Schizosaccharomyces pombe: one gene and its partners. Changing the gene in region 1 together with any one later gene gives a genetic interaction. Each region holds a gene or a part of one and is shown on either strand. Other genes may lie near its edges.

The links.
Region 2: mutations in nem1 (region 1) and cwf21 together harm fitness more than expected from each alone (negative genetic interaction), as found in Schizosaccharomyces pombe (one large-scale study listed by BioGRID).
Region 3: mutations in nem1 (region 1) and nrm1 together harm fitness more than expected from each alone (negative genetic interaction), as found in Schizosaccharomyces pombe (one large-scale study listed by BioGRID).
Region 4: mutations in nem1 (region 1) and rhp26 together harm fitness more than expected from each alone (negative genetic interaction), as found in Schizosaccharomyces pombe (one large-scale study listed by BioGRID).

Annotation. Positions count from the first base shown.
Region 1 is NC_003423.3:3,371,373-3,376,068, reverse strand, and holds nem1 (Nem1-Spo7 phosphatase complex catalytic subunit Nem1), read right to left. Parts: upstream 2,768-4,696; 5' UTR 2,605-2,767; coding exon 1,174-2,604; 3' UTR 517-1,173; downstream 1-516. Other genes in the region: U3 snoRNP-associated protein Utp3, read left to right, coding at 1-508; RNA polymerase I transcription factor subunit Rrn6, read left to right, coding at 3,885-4,696. UniProt on the Schizosaccharomyces pombe protein: Catalytic component of the nem1-spo7 complex which acts as a phosphatase and may be required for proper nuclear membrane morphology.
Region 2 is NC_003424.3:2,561,963-2,566,139, forward strand, and holds cwf21 (protein Cwf21), read right to left. Parts: upstream 2,289-4,177; 5' UTR 2,002-2,288; coding exon 1,999-2,001; exon of another isoform or gene 1,928-1,998; coding exon 1,049-1,927; 3' UTR 515-1,048; downstream 1-514. Other genes in the region: rog1 (lipase), read left to right, coding at 2,317-2,344, 2,509-4,177. UniProt on the Schizosaccharomyces pombe protein: Involved in pre-mRNA splicing. May function at or prior to the first catalytic step of splicing at the catalytic center of the spliceosome. May do so by stabilizing the catalytic center or the position of the RNA substrate.
Region 3 is NC_003423.3:4,284,106-4,289,083, reverse strand, and holds nrm1 (protein nrm1), read right to left. Parts: upstream 3,141-4,978; 5' UTR 3,043-3,140; coding exon 2,014-3,042; 3' UTR 1,724-2,013; coding exon of another isoform or gene 856-1,723; 3' UTR 798-855; coding exon of another isoform or gene 708-797; 3' UTR 666-707; coding exon of another isoform or gene 651-665; 3' UTR 610-650; downstream 1-609. Other genes in the region: nucleoporin Rae1, read right to left, coding at 1-17, 68-139; tad1 (tRNA specific adenosine deaminase), read left to right, coding at 416-609, 651-665, 708-797, 856-1,723; oga1 (protein stm1), read right to left, coding at 3,962-4,424, 4,487-4,860. UniProt on the Schizosaccharomyces pombe protein: Negative regulatory component of the MBF complex involved in cell-cycle-dependent transcription.
Region 4 is NC_003421.2:1,178,387-1,184,158, forward strand, and holds rhp26 (SNF2 family helicase Rhp26 ), read right to left. Parts: upstream 4,253-5,772; 5' UTR 4,172-4,252; coding exon 1,250-4,171; 3' UTR 546-1,249; downstream 1-545. Other genes in the region: thiosulfate sulfurtransferase Tum1, read right to left, coding at 1-103, 161-439; THO complex subunit Tho1, read left to right, coding at 4,410-4,604, 4,664-5,554, 5,610-5,772. UniProt on the Schizosaccharomyces pombe protein: Involved in transcription-coupled repair (TCR).

The DNA of each region.
Region 1 (4,696 bases):
CAAAGAACGAAGATTTGAACGCCAGCAGCGATTGATGAGAGAAGCTGCAGCCAGGGGTCGAAATCAGGATGCTGGTGCTGATCTTGATGATGAAGATCCGGAATCAATGGGCATACCTGCAAATGTCGATCGTGAAGTTGAAGATCAAGATGATTTGGATTATTACGAGTCTCTCGATAAAAAATCAAAGATGGCTAAAAAGCTCCGTAAAGAAAATCACGATCTCGAACGTGATTTAATAAGAGCTTCAAGGCACCCAGAACTAATTGAATTAGGTGAAGGTGATAAGCGTGGAATTACTTTAGACATTGCTAAAAATAGAGGATTAACTCCCCGTCGACCTAAAGAAAATAGAAATCCTCGACTTAAAAAGCGTATGCGCTACGAAAAAGCTAAGAAGAAATTAGCCAGCAAAAAGGCTATTTACAAGGGCGCACCACAGGGCGGCTATGCTGGTGAGCAGACTGGTATTAAAGCTGGTTTAGTTAAAAGTATTAAACTTCAATAGAAGTGGTGGTTGGTATTGATTCAACTATTAATTCTGCATATATTAGGTTTTTTGAATTTTCGTGTTATTAGATACATATAATAATAATGTGGTTTTGGGTTATGTTATTTGCTAGAACAATGTCGTTAGCCTAGTGATATGATTTTAAAATGCTAAAAGTCTATGTAATCTGGTTTATAATCATTAAATCATTTATAATCCTTTGCCCATCCTGATTAAGTAAGTTGATTGTAATAACAGATTGAAAAGTAAAAAAAAAAGAATCAACACTTAAATAGAATAAACATGTTTATTAAAAGCTTGATTTAGAAAGAAATTTCATAAGTAAGTTGCCTTCGTAATTGCTGCGAACATCAGTGCAGAAACTAATCTTTCTTAAAACATGCGTTTAGTTTATTAGAAAGAATTTCTTACGATTAGGCTTACATTAATTGACATATTATCAGCAAAAAGAAACAAAAATTATTTAACTGGAATGGCCCAAATGCGGTCTAGGAAATATCCAAAAGGTACCCTTTTGAGGTTATAACAAAGAAGTTTGATGATGAGAAAGGAAAGGCACCCAAGATGTTAATGCAGTAGAAAAAGTTATTTTAGACCATCGTTACTGGTGATAAATAACGAGTAAATTACTCACGAAAAAAAAAAGGAATCATGAAAAGCACTTATTTTGCGAGACGAAGCCCCAAAAGATCTCGCACATCATGAACATATTGCAGTGCATGAAGAAAAGAAAGTAAGTTTAGTAAATCAACGTCAGAGGGGTCGCTAATCCAACCTTCAATAGGTATGGCATTTTCTTTATGAGCATTGTAACTGGCTGGAGAATTATCAATTATCATGATCCGTGAAAGATGAATATTACAAATGGAAATATCTTTAACGAAAGAACTATCGACAAGTGCACAGTGTTGACGGTAGTATCGTTTAGCAAATATTTTTTTATCACGCTCCAAATAATCAATTATTGGATCAGCATATGGCTGGACAGATGCTGTGAACAAAATAAGGCGAAACCATTGACTCACATTTGATAAAAAGTAGTCAAGATGAGGCCTTTTGTGAATATAGTAAAGGATTGGATGTTCACCAGGCACATGTACTTCAATTGGCTGTCCAGAAGTCGTTCGACTACCACGAGACACGGAATGGATAAGTGTTTCATCCAAATCTAATACAAGGGTCTTTCTCGGTAACTTGCTATTCAACAAAGGCCTCGGTATTTTGTCCGCACACAGAGTAATGTTTCTAATACGGAGACGGGAAGAAGAAGGAGATTTAAGAGGATCATTAACTATCGTAAAGGAGGAAGGCAGCTTAGAAATATTGTCATTAGCAGGCGGGGAAAACTGAGTTGATTGAGGTTGATGCGAATGTCCTGAACGATTGGAATTTGCTTTTCCCATTAGGGAGACCTCTTTGGGTTTCATAGGAGAAACACACACATCTTCTTCTGAATTCAATGAATTTGAAAAAGAATTGAAAGAAATTTCTTCTTCTGCAATAGAGGGCTGAAAACGAACATGATTTCCATTAGAAGAACTGCTATAAGAATTAGAAGATCTATGTCGTTTGAAAGATGAATAGGCAGGATCCTGGTGAGAGGATGGGTAAGAATAAGAAGAATAAAACCTAGGACGGCGGACACTTGGCTGAGGGGGAAGCATCTCTCGGCGTTTATACGATAATAATACAGGAAAAAAGACAAACCGGCATAGACCCCAAAAAAAACTTGCAAGGGTAAACTCTTTCTCTTCATTCAAAAAGTGGTACAAAAATACACGAGCGGAATGAACGAAAAACGTATAAATTCGTTTCAGGAACACACGAATCCAGTAGACGACAACACGCATAATGTTGGCATGCTTCGGTTTTTCATTCCTTGTAGGAACTTCCTTTTCCGTCGGTTTTGATGACAAACTGCTAAGGCTGGACGCCGAATAAGACGATCTACGACGATTATAATGCCTCAAAGTAGCTGATGAAGCTCGCCCCCGAGCATTAGCAAGTTTTTCTTTGTCAGCTTCATCGTCGTCTAAAGGAGTGGCAAGGATTGCTTTATTAATTTCATCTGATAGCCTAGCAATCGAATTCATTACAATTATTTTCTCTCTGCTGCGATTGCAAAGAATTAAAAAATTCACCAAAAGAAGCGATGCATACAAAGTATACAACGACCAAGCAGAGTCCTTTTAGTAAAAAAGAGTAATTAATTAAATATGTGTTAGTTAGACCTAAAATATGTGGGAAAACAAAGCCAGAATCACACGGTGGTACGATGCACAATATATATAATGATGAACTACAACCCAAATAATAACATTTTCATAAGACGTAATGCTTAAGAAGATATATCAAAACTACCTTAAAGTAACAAATTTAAATGTAAACAATACGGTGTAAATATTTATTAAGTTCGTAAAATGAAAGTTCATTGCAGAAGCTTTCATTTTTTTTAACTAATAAACTTTACTTGTATGGGTTTCTGTGCAAGAAAAATTAATTTTCATTTTATTAAAAGTCTAAATATTTGTAGAAGCTAGCTTAATTGCCATTCTTTTAATCAACGTTTTGCTAGAATGTAAGTCGCCGAGCGGTCTTTTTAGGTTTCTTGACATTACTTGAAAGATGCTTTTAAGTCTAAATATATTTAATGGTACGTTAAAATGTATCAAGCTCCTTTAGACGTTGCATACAATAAATTACTTACAAATAACAGGCTGAACTAACTTATTGACTTTACAAAATTATAAACATATCGATAAAATTGGTTAAGCGGACACTAAAGAGAATTCAAAACACTTGCTAATCTGAATATTGCACTCTTCCTCAGGTATCAGCACCTCCTTACGTATTTTTTATGAAAAGGGAAAACTGGGCTAATGCAACATTCGTAAACCAATTTATCTATTGCTAAATCATTCCAAAATCGTAAGCGTTTGCATTTCATTGTAAAGGAGATTGTTTTGTTGCTGTGTTAATCTACATGTAATTGATAGCAGCTTAGAGACTTCGGAGAAGAACTCCTCTCCTACTTGAACACTGTCTTATGACTAATTTAAGTATTACTTTTAAACTTCATCTTTTTCTAGTAAAGAGAAATTCTCAGTTAACATAAATCAATAAATTGTTCAATTGAAAGCATGTAGTCGGTAGGAGTTATATTTTATATAATTATATAATGGTTTAAAGATAGCACTTTAAATATATTATAGTATAACAATAAAGTCAAGTTCTTAACTATAGGTGAAATTACTCCAGCATTGCTTCCTTGAAACACTGATTACTTGCTTTGTCGCTAGGTTGCTCTTGTATTGTCGTTAGATGTGTTTTTGTAAACACAATTCAATCTAATTTTATTTTTCTAATTATCTTCATGTCAACATGGCCTATTGATGCAATTAGTAAAAAACCTAGTGTAAGTTTGGATTATGGAATTATAGGGGCGTGTCAACTTTTAAATCCATCTGGCTATCACAGAGCGGAGAAGGTTGAAAATAATGAATGGACTTTTGCTAGGTATGACTCCTATACGGGCGTCGAGCTTGTTGACTTGGACAAAAGATGGGATATCTTATCTTTAAATCCAAACTACAAACTCCCTAAATTAACTGAGCTTCCTGCTGAGGCCACCAATTCCACGCGTAAAGCGACTAGTAGTTCATTTGGTTTAAGTGTTTGCAGATATGTTCCGCGAAATTTATTTTCTACACTAGCGAAAGAGTCTCAATTAGCTTCTTCTGCTGAGTCTATATATAATCCACATATTTTAAATACTTTTTGCTTGGGTAAAACAGCGCCATCAGATAAAAACAGATACACCACAACTGAATGTCTTGCTTGTAGCAAGATTAGCAATGAAACTGCGGAAAATCTCCTCTTTTTATGCCTCTCGTCTCCATGGATTTTTCGTGCATCTCCGACATTACAAAATACTGCAACTTTTGAAGAATTCCCATTTTACTTGAATGTATCGGCTTTTGAGTTTGCTGAGGATCCAATATGGAAATTCTCACAACCAGTGAGACAATTGGTTTTCTCTAATGGAGAACCAAGTTTGCTCTTCGCATTATCGTCTTGTGAGTTGGTTATATTCCAGGTAACTTATGATTTAATGTTCTTAGATGAGCCAAATACACCTGGATGCTTGTCCGCTATACCTCTGCGTTTTTTGTACGCAGATGATGT
Region 2 (4,177 bases), on another chromosome or scaffold:
GTAACAAACAAGCTAGTCGAAAATTTTTAACTAGTTTTTAATTCAGATTTCGATAGAGTAATCGCGTTAAATATATTTACCTGTCCAATAAAAAATTTCGATGAAAAAATGTTTTTTTTCTTTTCAATTATCTACAGAAAACTAATTAATTAATGCTTTGCGACTTAGCAAGAAGTTGTAATACGTGTTTAATGTACTGTAGTATCTAGGAAATTGAAAGTTATATGAAACAATAGATATTTATTTTAAAAAAGTTAAAGCGATTGGAAATCAAGATTTGAATGTATGATTAATTTTGTTTAGAAAAAAAAATGGGTTTTCTCTCAATGTCGCAGTGTCATCCTTGTGCAGGGGCCATGCTCTAAACAACGAGTTAGTATGACTCGAACCTTGGTAAATATTGTTACTTACAATCTTCTCTGTATCGTTTCAATTTGACCAAAGTGATCCGAAGATCATCAGAAAATAAAAATTGTATTATTTATAATTAAACTTATATTATAATTTTTTTTATAAATTGGTTTTATTATATAATTAATATTGCTTTAAAGCAAGTTCATTTTGTAAAATATATATAATAAACATTATTGGTATAAAAGCTCTGAGATTTACAGTATGCAGGAAAACAAAGCCGCCAAGAGCTACTTTGACTAAAATCGCGTGAATAATCTCGAAAATCTTTATTAAAAAGATTCTTTTATGCTTAATTAATGAATTTAAAATACAAATGTAAAAGCGTAATTGTAAATTTAAAATTGCTTCATTATCCCTCCGTGAAAAAGAAAAATATCAAATGATGTTTAAATCGTGCAACTTAACAGCCTTAATATAAAGTCGATAGTATTTTTTCTTTGAAGAATAATATTTTTTATATCATTGAACAGTCGTGTGCTTCATGGGATTTGACTAACGTGTATTGCTAACCAAATATTCATATTAATCCAACGATTGTTGATGACCCGAATAATTATCCAATATTAATAAACAATACATGCTTGCATGAATTGCCTATTATATTATTGTTTTAACTGGCCTAACTCTTTGGGCCTCATACAATTTCGCCACCCTCAGGAGAGGAATCCCTGTCCACAACAGGAATTGACTCATTCTTCGTATAGGAGGGTGAATTGCTTCTTTCTCTCCTTCTATGATAAGAATACCTTTCCCGTTCATCGTGTCTATTATAATCTCTTCTGGGTAATTCAGAACGCCTTGAGTAACTTTCATTACTACTCCGTCGTCTTTCTAATTCATCGTAGGAGGAATACGAATCGTAATGTCTTCTTCTATTTTCATTGTAATTGTCCACATGCCTTTTTGAATTTAATGATTTCCTCTCGGAATAACGCGGGTAATCATAATAATCATCGTCAACTGATGATCTCAAATCGTCTCTTTCTTCTAATCGCCCATCATCGTCATTTTTCGAGTGAAATCCTCTTGTTTCTTTTCTTTTCTGAGGTTGAAGAATGGATTCAAAATTTTTTCCTTTTTCAGTAGATTTTTGTAATTGCAATTCTTTAAGTAACTGTTCTCGATATTTTTGTACTAAAATTTCTACATCAGCTTCATCTAAAGATTTAGTTTTCGATTGTGATTGCTCATCTTTTATAATTGCTTTAGGTGGCTTCGGGTTTTCAGTCCCAAAATTTGTATTGGAATCAGATGCCGCTGCATCAGTGCTGTGTTGGGAACTGACCTCCTCCAACAACTGCTCTCTGTACAACAACAACTTCGACTCAATTTGTCGACGGCATTCATGCTCGCTTATTGAAGGATCTTGAACCCGTTTTTCCAGAGCTTTTGCATTTCGATTTGACTGTAGATTTGTATTTTTGTCATATTTTTTTACGTGAGACAGATTCCGCATTACGTATCCATTTGTTCCTGATCCTCTTGGAGTGGGTAATCCAATTCCATTATACGACTTTAATTGTTAGCAAAGGACTCAATTTTGGTGTCTTCTTCATTAAAGAAAGCTTTTTATGCATCTCTTACCATCTTGCTTTATTTCCCGTGAAGTCGTTCGATTTTTGCTTTTGCTCAAAAATTAGAAAAACTGAGTTTATATAGGTTCGTCGAACAGCTAGTCTAACAAAGGAATCGAGCGAACAAATTTTACCGGTAGGACACTGATAAATTCGCGTTACTTTTTACGTGATATGAGCAACTAGCGATTTACTAATTGAAACAGATAAAATTTTATCCCTATTCGTTGACCGGTATTGAAAAATAATTGATATCTCTCACCTTTCACGAATAGCTAATTTTCAGATTTACTAGTTTTTGAGTTGTCATCGCTTGACTTCTGACATTATGAATGTATATGTACAACGAGATGACGGTAAGTTACTTTAAACAAAATTTACCACTCCTTTAAATTGTATTTGCAAGTTGATATTATCAGCTCGTTATTTAAAGTTTCGATTTGTTATGCTTGTTTCGATGCAAAAATTTTGGGATGGCATATAAATATTTAATACTTGTTCTAACATTGGCATGGTACAGTTGGTTTAGGTCAAATACATCGATTTCGAATTTTTGTGCAGAGTGGGGGCAATTTGCATTCGGCAACGTCTTCTACAACTGTGCCCCCCACTGTGAACCTCAATTCAGTGACTAAGAAAGAGAGTGGTAGCATCGAGGATAGAGCAGGTTCAGGTGGGATGACAATCTCTAGTGGGGAGAATATCAGCAAGCAAATCTCAGAGAATAATAGTAGCACGAATCCGAAGCATGCAAATTCAGAATCCTCACCTCTTCTTTCCAGCGATTTTTCATCTTCTTCAAAAGATTATCATAAAGTTGGTGCGTTTACAGATAATACCAATGCAATCAACATACCTGAACAAACAAGAGGTGTCTCTCATACCTCTTCTTCTCCTTCTGTAGGTACTTCATTCTCTTCTATTAATCTTCGTGAAGTAAAAAATCCCTTGGCAGGAAGCGACTCTACAGCTCCCTTCATAAATTCGACTAACTCGGTACTTTGGATTCGTGTCAGGAATAGAGAAGCACGTTTCCGCCAGGCAGCCTATCTTCAAGGTCCATTTACATTATGCGTTAGCGTTTGGAATGACCAATTTTTTGATGAAAAAAATTCTTTATTAAACTTTGATCCTCAGGTACAGCCCTCTACTAGTTTTTGGGTCTGTGTACCTTATTCATGTTTTTCCAATCAGCAGCCTATTTACATTGAAATTGCAAGTCAGGCGATTTTTAAAGATAGATCTATTAACTTTGAGCTTGCTATATCGCAATCTCAACATTCCATTCGAGCCATGTCAGCTGCTGATATCGATACTCTTCATGCATTCCCTGCTCTACACGTTGAACATCAAACTCCGGAAAATTTATGGCGTCTTCCGTATTCTTCATTTCATTCAAAGAATTCACATTTGGTGGTGCTAACTCATGGAATGCATTCTAATGTTGGTGCTGATATGGAGTATTTAAAAGAAAAACTAATAGAATCATCAAAATCTGTTAAGGAACTAGTAGTTGTTCGAGGATTTACCGGTAACTACTGTCAGACTGAGAAAGGGGTTCGCTGGCTGGGTAAACGACTTGGTGAATGGCTGTTGGATATTACGGGCTGGGGAAGTGCATCTTTTCCTCGATATTCCCATATATCAGTTGTCGCCCACTCACTTGGTGGATTGGTTCAAACATATGCTGTTGGTTATGTACATGCAAAAACGCACGGTGCCTTTTTTCAGGCTATTCACCCTGTGTTTTTTGTAACTTTGGCAACTCCTTGGCTCGGTGTTGCTGGTGAACATCCTTCTTATATTGGTAAGGCTTTGTCCTATGGTATCATTGGTAAGACAGGACAAGACTTATCTTTAACTCCACTGAATCACTCCATTGAATCAAGACCTTTCCTTGTTTTGATGTCTGATCCTTCCACGCCTTTCTTTCAAGCTGTTTCGTTTTTTGAAAAAAGAATATTATTTGCAAATACTACCAATGACTATATCGTCCCTTTTGGAACTAGCGCAATGGAAGTTAGTTCTTTGGGTAAGGTAGAGGAAGCTGAGGGTTCAGATAAGGTTATGCCTACGCATATGGAAAATGGCATTTCACCAACACTAAAAGAAAATGAGCAAACAGTTCAAAGTGTCGGAGATAATGCAAAGAAAATCCATGCTTCTTCAGAAGAATCTGGATCTTCATT
Region 3 (4,978 bases), 910 kb from region 1:
TCCGGGGGTTGGGCAACCTATCGTGTAATTAGCAAATGTAAGTAGCGTATATGTAAAATTAACAAACCTCCACATCCTTTTTTAAGTCACCGGTTGCATTAGATACTGTAGATGTTGTAGCCTGTCCAAAAAGTGACATTCTAATAGTTGTGGTAGTTGGTAAATTACTCGTATGCAGACAAAATTACTTGCTTCAACACACTACCACAAATGCTTTTGCCAACATTTGTACTTCAATCACTTACAGCGAATAAGCTTTGCTATTAGGAATACCCAATTGTTATTAATTAACAGTTGGAAACAAAATATTAGTATTTAATTACGGTCACAACATATCACAGGATTTACGCTCCCGAAGTACTCTTTTCTTAATACAATTGAATATAAAGTATGGATTTATGAAATTCATTAGAAAATGGAAGAATTTACCCTAGATAGAAACAGTAATGTTGGGAATTTAATAGCTCTTGCAGTCCTTAACAAATTTGATGAACTAGCCCGTCATGGCAAACCGATCATAAGAGCAAATGGGGTGCGTGAATGGACTACTTTAGCCGGTGTTGTCATTCAGAAAAAGATGGAGAACGAATTTATTTGTGTTTGTCTAGCGTACGTCTTTTTTATTAATATCGGTAAACTGACATCTAAAGAACAGGTGTAAAATGGTATGCTACCAATTGATTTTTTTCATTAACAAGTCAATTTAGTACGCCAGCTGGCATCATTAAGAATGAACAACTGGGTAGTGTATTACATGATTGTCATGCTGAGATTCTGGCATTAAGATGTTTTAACAGGTAATATATACAATTATTTGTATATTTGTTAGTATTCGTTACTAATAAAAGAATTAAGATTACTTCTCGAACATTGTATTTTAATTAAAGAATCAAAGAAAGATACGTGGCTTCTTGAAGTTGCTGATAATGGTAAATTTACTCTAAACAGCAATCTTCTGATACATCTGTACGTTTCCGAATGTCCTTGCGGAGATGCGAGTATGGAGCTACTAGCTAGCCGCTTGGAAAACAACAAACCATGGAACTTAACAGTTGATTCAGAGAAATTAATGCGTGGGAGGGCGGATTTTGGACTACTTGGAATCGTGCGTACTAAACCGGGGAGACCTGATGCCCCAGTAAGCTGGAGCAAAAGCTGTACTGATAAATTAGCTGCAAAACAATATCTTTCTATTTTGAATTCCCAGACCAGCCTCATTTGTGAGCCCATCTATTTATCATGTGTAGTGCTTTATAAAAAAGTGATAGTTAAATCAGCAATTGACAGAGCATTTGGACCCTTTGGTCGGTGCGCACCACTTGCTGAATTTGGAGAAAAGGATAATCCTTATTACTTTCATCCTTTTACCGTGCTGGAAACGGATGAAAATTTTTTATATTCACGGCCGTTGAACCAAGCAGAAAAAACTGCAACTAGTACAAACGTTTTGATATGGATCGGTGATAAAATGCAGTGTACTCAAGTGATACATAATGGTATTAAAGCGGGAACAAAAGCTAAAGACGTTGAAAAGTCTCAAACATTAATATGTAGAAAGAGTATGATGAATTTGCTGCATCAATTAAGTCAATCGTTGACTAATGAAAAAAACTATTATGAATGGAAGAAACTCAACATCAAACGTTGCCAGCAAAAGCAAATTCTTCGTAATATCTTAAAAAACTGGATCCCAAACGGAGGGAACGAATTTCAATGGATATAAGAAATCTAGAAACCTCAATATAAGATGTACGTATGAATTAAGGCATTAAATAAAACGAAGGATGGCTTTACCAGCGATAATAATTTTATTAACGACTGACTTGTTACATAACAAGTAAGAAATAAAAGAACGTGTTGCGAGGAATTAAAAGTTATTTTTTGCATTTCAAAATAATTCACATATAGAAATCTGTCAGAAAGGAAATGAACGACAACTAGAGTAATTAAAGTATTATAAAAATCATCTCATAACATTATTCCATAACTCGGTTTAAAATGTAAAAAGAAGGATCATCGAATTAAACCATAGTCTGAAAATTGCTTGCTGTGACTTGCAATACGCCTTACTTCGGAAGATGATGGATGAATGTTTTCTGGAGTGTTGGATATGGATACTGGAGTAGGCGGGCCAGTATAGTAATTTGAATTTGGTTTCTGAGCGCTTAAATGCTTTAACGGTGTAGAATTGCTTTTAGAAAGTGATTTTGGCCGAATGCGTCTAGGCGTTTTATGTTGTAAAAGAGATACGCTACGTGTCAATTTACCATGACGAACCCACAGATAATGAGAGGAGGAGCGTGATAGCGTACGAGAAGGGGTGCGTAAAGGAGAGGTATAAGGATCATACATATGTGTTAGATCATCAGAACCGATCGGTCTTGGCGTTGTCAAACCATTCTGATCATATATCGACTTCGTGGGAGATCCCATGGAAAGCCTGCGATTCCCTGAAAGATGTAAGGACGGAGGCTTTCCAGAAGAAAGCGATCTCTGGTTCCATATGGAGGTAACAGGTTCAGAGTTTGGACAATTGTGAAGCTTCGTTTTAGCGACAATGGGAAGATCTTGCAGAGGGGAAAATGTTTGATTAACTTGTACTTTATACATAGCCAATTCAAGACGTAAGCGTAAGTTTTTAGCACAACACTGAATGTCGTCTAAGTGATTATTGTTGGTATTGGTTTGTACTGGTGTCTTGGGTTCTAAATGTGTTTCTTTTTCCTGTTTCTCTCCTATCTCAGTAGAAGATTCTTTTTCCTCTTCACTCTCCGTACTACTAACAGATTTTATTTTTAAGACTGGCTCTTCACATGCATTTTCATCTGCAATTTCTACTGCACGCACATTTCGAGATCGAACCGCAATCGGTGAAATCGTCCCTGGAGCCGCATTCTCTTTTCCTAATGGTCTCTGCATCGGTGTTATAGGAAATAAATGTTGCACATTTTTTCCTTTTCCATACTCATACACTTCGTTTGTTGGCCTTTCCCCCAAAGTGTTTAAACGAGATGGGGTCAATGGTTCCATTGACCTATCCATCTTGTTATTTTTTCTAAACGGAAACCAATATAAAGATTCCTAGTAGCAGAGAATCAGAAGGAAAAGTAATAATCAGAGACAGTTTTTTTGCGACTCGTCGATTGTTGCGTACTTGTGGCACGTATATAAGCGGTGTCCAACGCAACGCGACGCGACGCCCTTTAAAGCGCGAATTCGCGATATAGCGCGTTTTATCAGTTTGCTCATATCCTCGAGTTTATTAATTATATTAACTTTCAAATTTTTTAAATAGCTATCAAAAATGATGCTATAAAAAGTAAACCGCAATTTGCATTATGAAGAGTGATTTACCTGTTATGTTACCGATACACAAACTCGTTCATAACTTTCCTATAGTCATTTTACAAGGTTAAGAAGGCTTTATTCAACGTCCGTTTCAATATCCCTGCAAACGACATTTGAAAATGACAAAATCAATTGGAATAATAAATGGAGTATTTGTGAATTGCACAGGCAGACCTACCGTACACTGAAATATGCTTTTGTTATGTACACAATTACTAAGGCTGATATTTACAGATTAAAAATAAGATACGTTATATCAAGATAACAGTCGGTAGACGATTTAAACGCGCATCTTCTTAATATTAGTTGTGAATAGATACGAGAATGAAATTTTTTTTACACACTAGTATTCGACCATTTTGAAAAATATTTAGTCAATTCATCGCAAAATGTGGATCAAAAAAGGGAATGCAACCACAGAATACACCTTAGACCGCTTTAATGATAAGAATCACTGAATAACCTAGAAACCCGAATGATGCTCAATGGAAAATAAACAAAAAGGGATCTGTAAGATAACACACACCTTTCCACATACGCTTGACAACGAAATTTCATCCAAGACCAATCAAACGCTCCACATCAATAGGCTACTCTCAAGTCACCAGTTCATCTATGCAAGAGCGGGAAAGTCAGTCTCAGAAAGGGTGGGAGGTGCCTGTTGGGTTTTTGAGGCAGTTTCTGAAGGACCACGACGGGGAGCACGGTTAGGACGGCCACCGCGAGCAGGACGAGCAGTAAAAGTTTGCTCGATATCAAGAAGAACCTTCTTTGGCTTGCTTTCCTTGGCAGCAGACTTCTTTTGAGAAGCGCTCTTCTTAAGAGAGGCAAACAATTCTTCGGGGGCACTCTTCTCGACCTTAGTAGCGTTTTCAAGTTTCTCAACAGTACGACCAACAGGCTTTGCGGCGGACTTGCGTTCAGACAGATATTCATCAAGAGTCTTAACATTTTCCTCCTCGGCAGCAGGAGTTTGGGCTCCAGAGGGAGTGTTACCTTCGTTCTCTGCAACATCAGGGTTAGCAGCAGAGTTTACGAGATCACCCCAGCCACGTTCAGTAGCCTTCTTGGTATCACTAAAATAATGGTTAGCAATTATATAATTTGGCATTCACATGTAGAAAAATAAAACACATACACTCTACCAGTTTGGCTATGGCGGTCAAATTCACGACCACGGCGAGCACGAGCATTGCGGCGGTTGGAGGGGGCGCCAGTGGCATCCACAGGATGGGCAGCGTTGTTAGCACGAGCTTCTTTGCCTTCACGAGCAAAGGCTTCGTTTCCTTGAGGAGCTTGACGGCGTCTGCGAGGTTGGTCTGCCTTCTTATTAACGGTACGCTCACGAGGAGTGGGTTGGTTAGGGTCACGCTTCCTAGAGGTGGTGCTTTGAGCGACTAATTCGCGGGGGACAGGAGGGCTGTCGGAGCGCTTTTTGTCACGAGAAGCAGCGGTTTTCTTCTCGGTAGTAGTAGCTGCGGGAGTCTCCTCTCCGAGGAGGTCAAAGAGGTTCTATAATTTGGTTACTACTTGCGAAAACAAAATAAAAATCAGCAGAGTCTGCAGAGCTAACACTCTAAAGAATAATGAACGAAATGTGAATTTATATTTTTTAATACTTGAGCGTCTT
Region 4 (5,772 bases), on another chromosome or scaffold:
CATTAGGAAATAAGAAAACATGCTCATGACCAAAGACTTTAAAGGTCCAGAAAACCCTAGGAGACGAAAAAAACCCTTTTCGGTCATAAATGATAACATTGGTCTAAAATATTAGTAAAATTGAAGACTAAGTAATTGGAATTTCTAAACTACTACTTACGTTTCTGTCAATTCCTAATTTTCCAACGTAAGAGGCGAATTCGTCAGCTGGAGGAAGCATATGAGGAAGGGGATTTTTGTGATCTTTAGCCTCATCTATATCAAAGTATTGAGCACCTGGAAGACGACTTTCTAAATACTCCTTCTTTCCGTTTTTAGTGTCTGTTGGCAAGTACCAAGTAGCATCCAAGAGAACGGTTTTTTGAGCATTATCCTTTAATTTTTGCAATACGCCCTTAATAGGCAAAATAAAAGAGATTTTTTTACCAACAGAGAACATTGTTTGAAGCAGAGTCTTATTTTGTTTCAGCGAACTACATAGACTTCGAATTTCAAGTAATCTTACGAAAGTACAGCGTTGGTTGCAGCTCCCAAAATTAATTAACGAGTCAAGTTTTTGGTAAAACCAAATATGTGTGTAAAAATGGTTAGATGCGGTTGCATTGCTTATATACAAATATTAATTTATATAAAATGAAAAAGTACTAGTAATAAGTTCGCCAATAAGCACCAAGACATCAAAATTTTTGAACCACTAGTTTTCTAATTAAAAGGTCTTTTCTGACACTGTCAACAAACATGACTCTAGCATTCTAATAACGTTGACAAAAGAACGTAGTAATTTATAGCTACAAAAAGGGTTGCACGGGTTGCACATACCACTAACTAAGCCGCTTTGAGTGTTCATACTTTTCTCAGCCAACTAGAAAGTTATTAACGCTAATTTTAGGTCTCAGGTAAAGCGAATTTGTCAAGTGCTTGCTTACAATAACATTAACACACTTTAACCAAGTACTTTAACAAAAGGGAAAAATGATCAAAGTAATTCCGACAGCCCTATCCTCAACATGGAATTGACATTTCCAATACTTTTCAAGCAAAGTAAACCCACCTAGTAATAAGGATAATTCCCATTCAAAAAATGAAATGATCGCGTGTCTATCAATAAATCCATAAATAAAGCTTAAATCATGAAAAACTTAATGTACAAAATAAAGGGAAATAATAATAAATAAATAAATGGGTACAAGATTGGGTCCGAAATTTTAATGGATACAGCTTACTCTAAGGCGAACTTCTTCTAATTAATTCATCGTCTCTGTTTTAGTCGGGCAAGAAGAGTGCTTGAAGTAATCGGACCTGATGGTTTAGAAGTACCAGGAACATTAGTAGATTGCTGCGGAGGTATAAGTTGACGAGGAGGTCGCCGAAAAGATGAAACTGCACGCAGAGCTTCATTAGCAACACGCGTCGCTTCTTTTTCAACCAATATGCTTTCAGTCTGGGAGGCTTCCATGATATCGTCGTGCTTTAAAGTACTCTGAATACCAGCACTAGCAAAAATATCATCAAGGACGGAATCATCCCCTAAAGTCGAATCAGAGTTTGTCTTAGTAACATTTGACTCTTGCGGTGGTTTATACTTTTCCATCGATGCAATCCCCATTTTTTCAAACACTTTGGAGCTGTTAACTTTTTTACCTTTGTCGTGAATTTTGTGCTTTTTTCGGTCACGAGCTGGAATATCTTCAGCTTCATTGCCATTTCTTGAGGAATTATCCTTTCGAAGTACTCGTTCAGATCCCAAAAACATGCTGCCTGTCTCAGTGCCCTCAGTCTTGTTATCGCCTAACGTAAACAAATCGTGCAAGTCCGTCATTTTAAAAAACCTTCTTTGTTTTGGATCTTTCAAAATTTTGTTAGTCAGAAACTGCTTAAAGATTTGACGATGATAAATTTTTTCTTCAATAGTTCCAGCAGTCATCAACCGATAAACTACTACATCTTTCTTTTGGCCCAGTCTCCAAGCACGTTCACGTGCTTGAGCATCCGTTGAGGGATTCCAATCAGGATCAAAAAGAATTACCCTGTCAGCACCAGTCAAATTGACTCCTAATCCACCAACACGAGTAGTTAGAAGAAACACATCAAAATACTCATTTTTATTAAAGTTGTCCACCAAATCTTGTCTTAAAGCAATAGATGTGCTACCATCCATGCGACAGTAATGAACATCCGGCAAATCCTTTAATCCTATTTCCAGTATGTCGAGCATTTGGCGAGTCTGAGAAAATAGAAGAGTTCTATGTCCTTGTTTTTTCCACAAAGTTAGTAATGCTCTAATAACCTTCAGTTTGCCAGACTTTTCAGGATCACCATAGTTGTAATCTTCTTTATGTAACAAGTACTCTCGAGTTACAAGATCTGGATGATTACAAATTTTTCGTAGTATATCAATTCCATAAAGCATTTGACGCTTTCCGTTCAAGATCTTTTGCATATCAGAGCCTTGCAAAAAATCTTGGTAAGCTTTCCTTTGTAAAGGAGTCAGCTTACAGAACAATACTTGTTCGGACTTCTTAGGTAAATCTGCAGCAACGTCAAGCTTCATTCTTCTAAGTAAATAAGGAGAAATTAAATCTCGAAGCATGCAGGCGCATTTATAAGCGGTTTGCACTTGAACATTTGAAGCATTGGCATAACCACCAATATTAATAGGTAAGGCAAATTGATTTTGAAATACCGGTAATGTACCCAATCTTCCAGGAAATACAAAATCAAATAAATTCCAAAGCTCGGTAAGGTTGTTCTGGATCGGAGTCCCTGAGAGGATAATCCTATTCACAGTACGGATTTGCTTACACGAAATAGATATTTCAGAATCTGGGTTTCGTATTTTGTGCCCTTCATCCAAAACACAATAACCCCATTCCCGTGGTAAAATCAAATCACCATATATCCTTAAACCAGCATATGTTGTAATTAAAATGTGGCCTCTAGTGAAGACACTTTCAACTAAGTTCTTAGCGTATCTGTGGAATGAACTTGAAGCACCTCTTAATTTTATGGAGGTTTTGCTTTCTTCCGCTTCACTTTCAGAAGCGTCAGATTCATACTGTCTCTTTTCGCGTGAAGCACGCTGTCCGCTGCCAGTAGCATGAAGAACAACAACACGTAATGGAGCCCACCATGTATGAAACTCATTAACCCACTGCTTCATTAAAGTCGCTGGACAAACGATAAGTGCAGGCTTTTGAAATTTGCCAGAGTGATGCAAAGACGAAAGGAAAGATACTATTTGAATAGTTTTTCCTAGTCCCATTTCATCACCAATGATTCCTCCGGCCTCTTGACAATAGAGTTCCCATAACCATTGTACGCAAGTGACTTGATAACGGAAAAGATGTGGGCGAATATCACCTGGGATGGTAAATCCACCCTCAAAAGTCTGTCCTTTTTTGGAAGGATGAGGTAGTAACCACTCATCTTTACCTTCAAACTCTCCTCTATCTTTATTGTTTTCAGATGCTGAGGCCTGATCTCGTAATTCCTTACGATTCGCACACCAAGCATTAAGCCTTTGTCGATATACCAAATCATCTCCATCATCTATAGCGGCAGTTACTACTTTCTCCGTAACAGCATCCACAGTTACGTACTCATCTTTTTCGTCTCTTGGAATAATCCCATGATCAATATTTGACGGCTCCGAACTCAAATGAGGTGCCGTTTCATAGTATGTTCCTTCAGACTTTATAACAGCCTCACGAATGCTAGATTCATCATCAAAATCAACTTCTTTTTGTAGTCCAGAGAGATTTCGAAACGGTGTAACCTTACCAGTACGGATGAGCTCTTGTCTTTCCAATTCTTCAGTCGAAAATGCACCTATACCAGGGGCATTTGCCGAATCTTCGTTATTAAGTCTTCTCTTAATATCATTTTCGTCTGATTGTAAACTTTGAAGAGTGTCTCGGAATTTAGATAATTGTTTGCGGAAGTTCTCCTTGACACTTATTTTTGTAAGTCGACTGTCTATACGCTCATCAAGGCGACGTATTTTTTCTTTTACAGAAGATATTTCTTTCCTGACTTTTTGAAGTCTCTTCTTTTCGATCTCTCGACTTTCATGTGCAATGTACTCACTAGCAGTATTCGTAACATCGCGTTCCAAATTCTCTTGGTCAACCGAAAAAACCCCTAAATGGGATAGATCTTCATTGACACTCATATCCTATCAATTTCTTAAATAAAGTCTCATTTTCAGACTCACTGCAAATTTAAGAAAATACTTTGTTGTTTGGTTAAGGGCAAAATTACATATTCCTTCATGCTGCTCCTGTTATAGCGAGAAGCAATGAACCACACAAAGCAATAACGAATAAATCCTTATTTCTAAATGACATTGTCAATGCTAGATAAACTCACGTTTCTGCGCGCGGATTGTATATTCGCAGACTTTTAAAGTAATGGAGGTGCAAAAGGGTTTAATTGAAGCTTTTTATAATACATATCCATTAGAAAAGGCAAAAGAACTGGATAAGAGTCCACTTTGTTCTGAATATGAATTATTCATCAAAGAATTATGGCCTTCGATTGTTGAGAGTTTTCATAACTCAACTGAGTTTGAAACGGCAATAAGATTTTGCTGTTATGAAACAGCAGTATGTGCTTTTTCCATAATGAAGTTTTCCTTAAGTTACTAATTGTTATTTTCGTGTAGCGCAAAAGTGAGATTGGATTGGAGGAGCGATTAAAATGTTTATTTGCGATTTTGGATCTCTTAGTAATAGGGAACGAAATTAACGAAAGCTTCTGTGATCACCTGTTGCCTTTTCTAATCTTGGAAGAGCTGATGGACATTCACACCGTCAACGAATGCGCCAAATTATATGAATATTTTGAAACCAGACCTAGCTTGATGAAAGGTATTGTCAGCAATCGTGGAAGAGGACCCGTTTTGCTTCGGATATCAAATGAATTACTCCGGCGTCTTTCTCGGCAAGAAAATTCATCTTTTTGTGGGCGGATCGATATTCTGCTAAGTAAGGCTTTCCCCCCTGAAGAACGGAGTGGAGCCAATTTACGTGGAGATTATAATACTGTTCATTCTTTTGGGAAGGTAGAACTGTCACCACCATCCACACCCATTTCGGACCGAACAGACCTCTCATATCACAAAAAACTTAATACCTTATTTACTGCTTATTGGGATTTGCAGTGTATGTGCTCCAACCCTCCTAAATTACTAGCAAGTGATACCTTACCTAAGTTTATAGATGCAGCTGGTTCTGCAATACAGGCATTCGAATCTATATTACAAAATACGTTCTTCAATGGGAAGTCAAACCCTACAATTGATCCAAACTCTAGCTCATTACTTTCTGAAAAATATATAACTTTGGATAAAGGATTTCCTTCTAAATATATATATTCTCGGTCGCTTTTTGAATACCAACTTTCAGATGAAGATTTCCGGTTACAGGCTATTTTACAATTAATTATTATTTTCGACTTTTTGCTTGACCATTCTAAAGAACGAATTGAAAGGAGAACTCTTGAAAAATGGACAAATAAGGCGGTAATTCCCATTGTTATTTTGTCTGACGAAGATGTATGTTCTTTTTTAGACTCGAAAAAAACTGATTTTATTGATTGCTAATATGTAGACCTCAAAGTTAAATGAATTATCCAAAGAAGCATATAGTTTCTTACATACTGCCCGGTGTGGTTCTGTGCAAAGAACCATTAAAGAAATTATACATATTGAGGGTAATTGGAAATTATGGAAAGGGCTTGGCTGCCCTTCCCTTGAAAAACCCCTAGTAGATA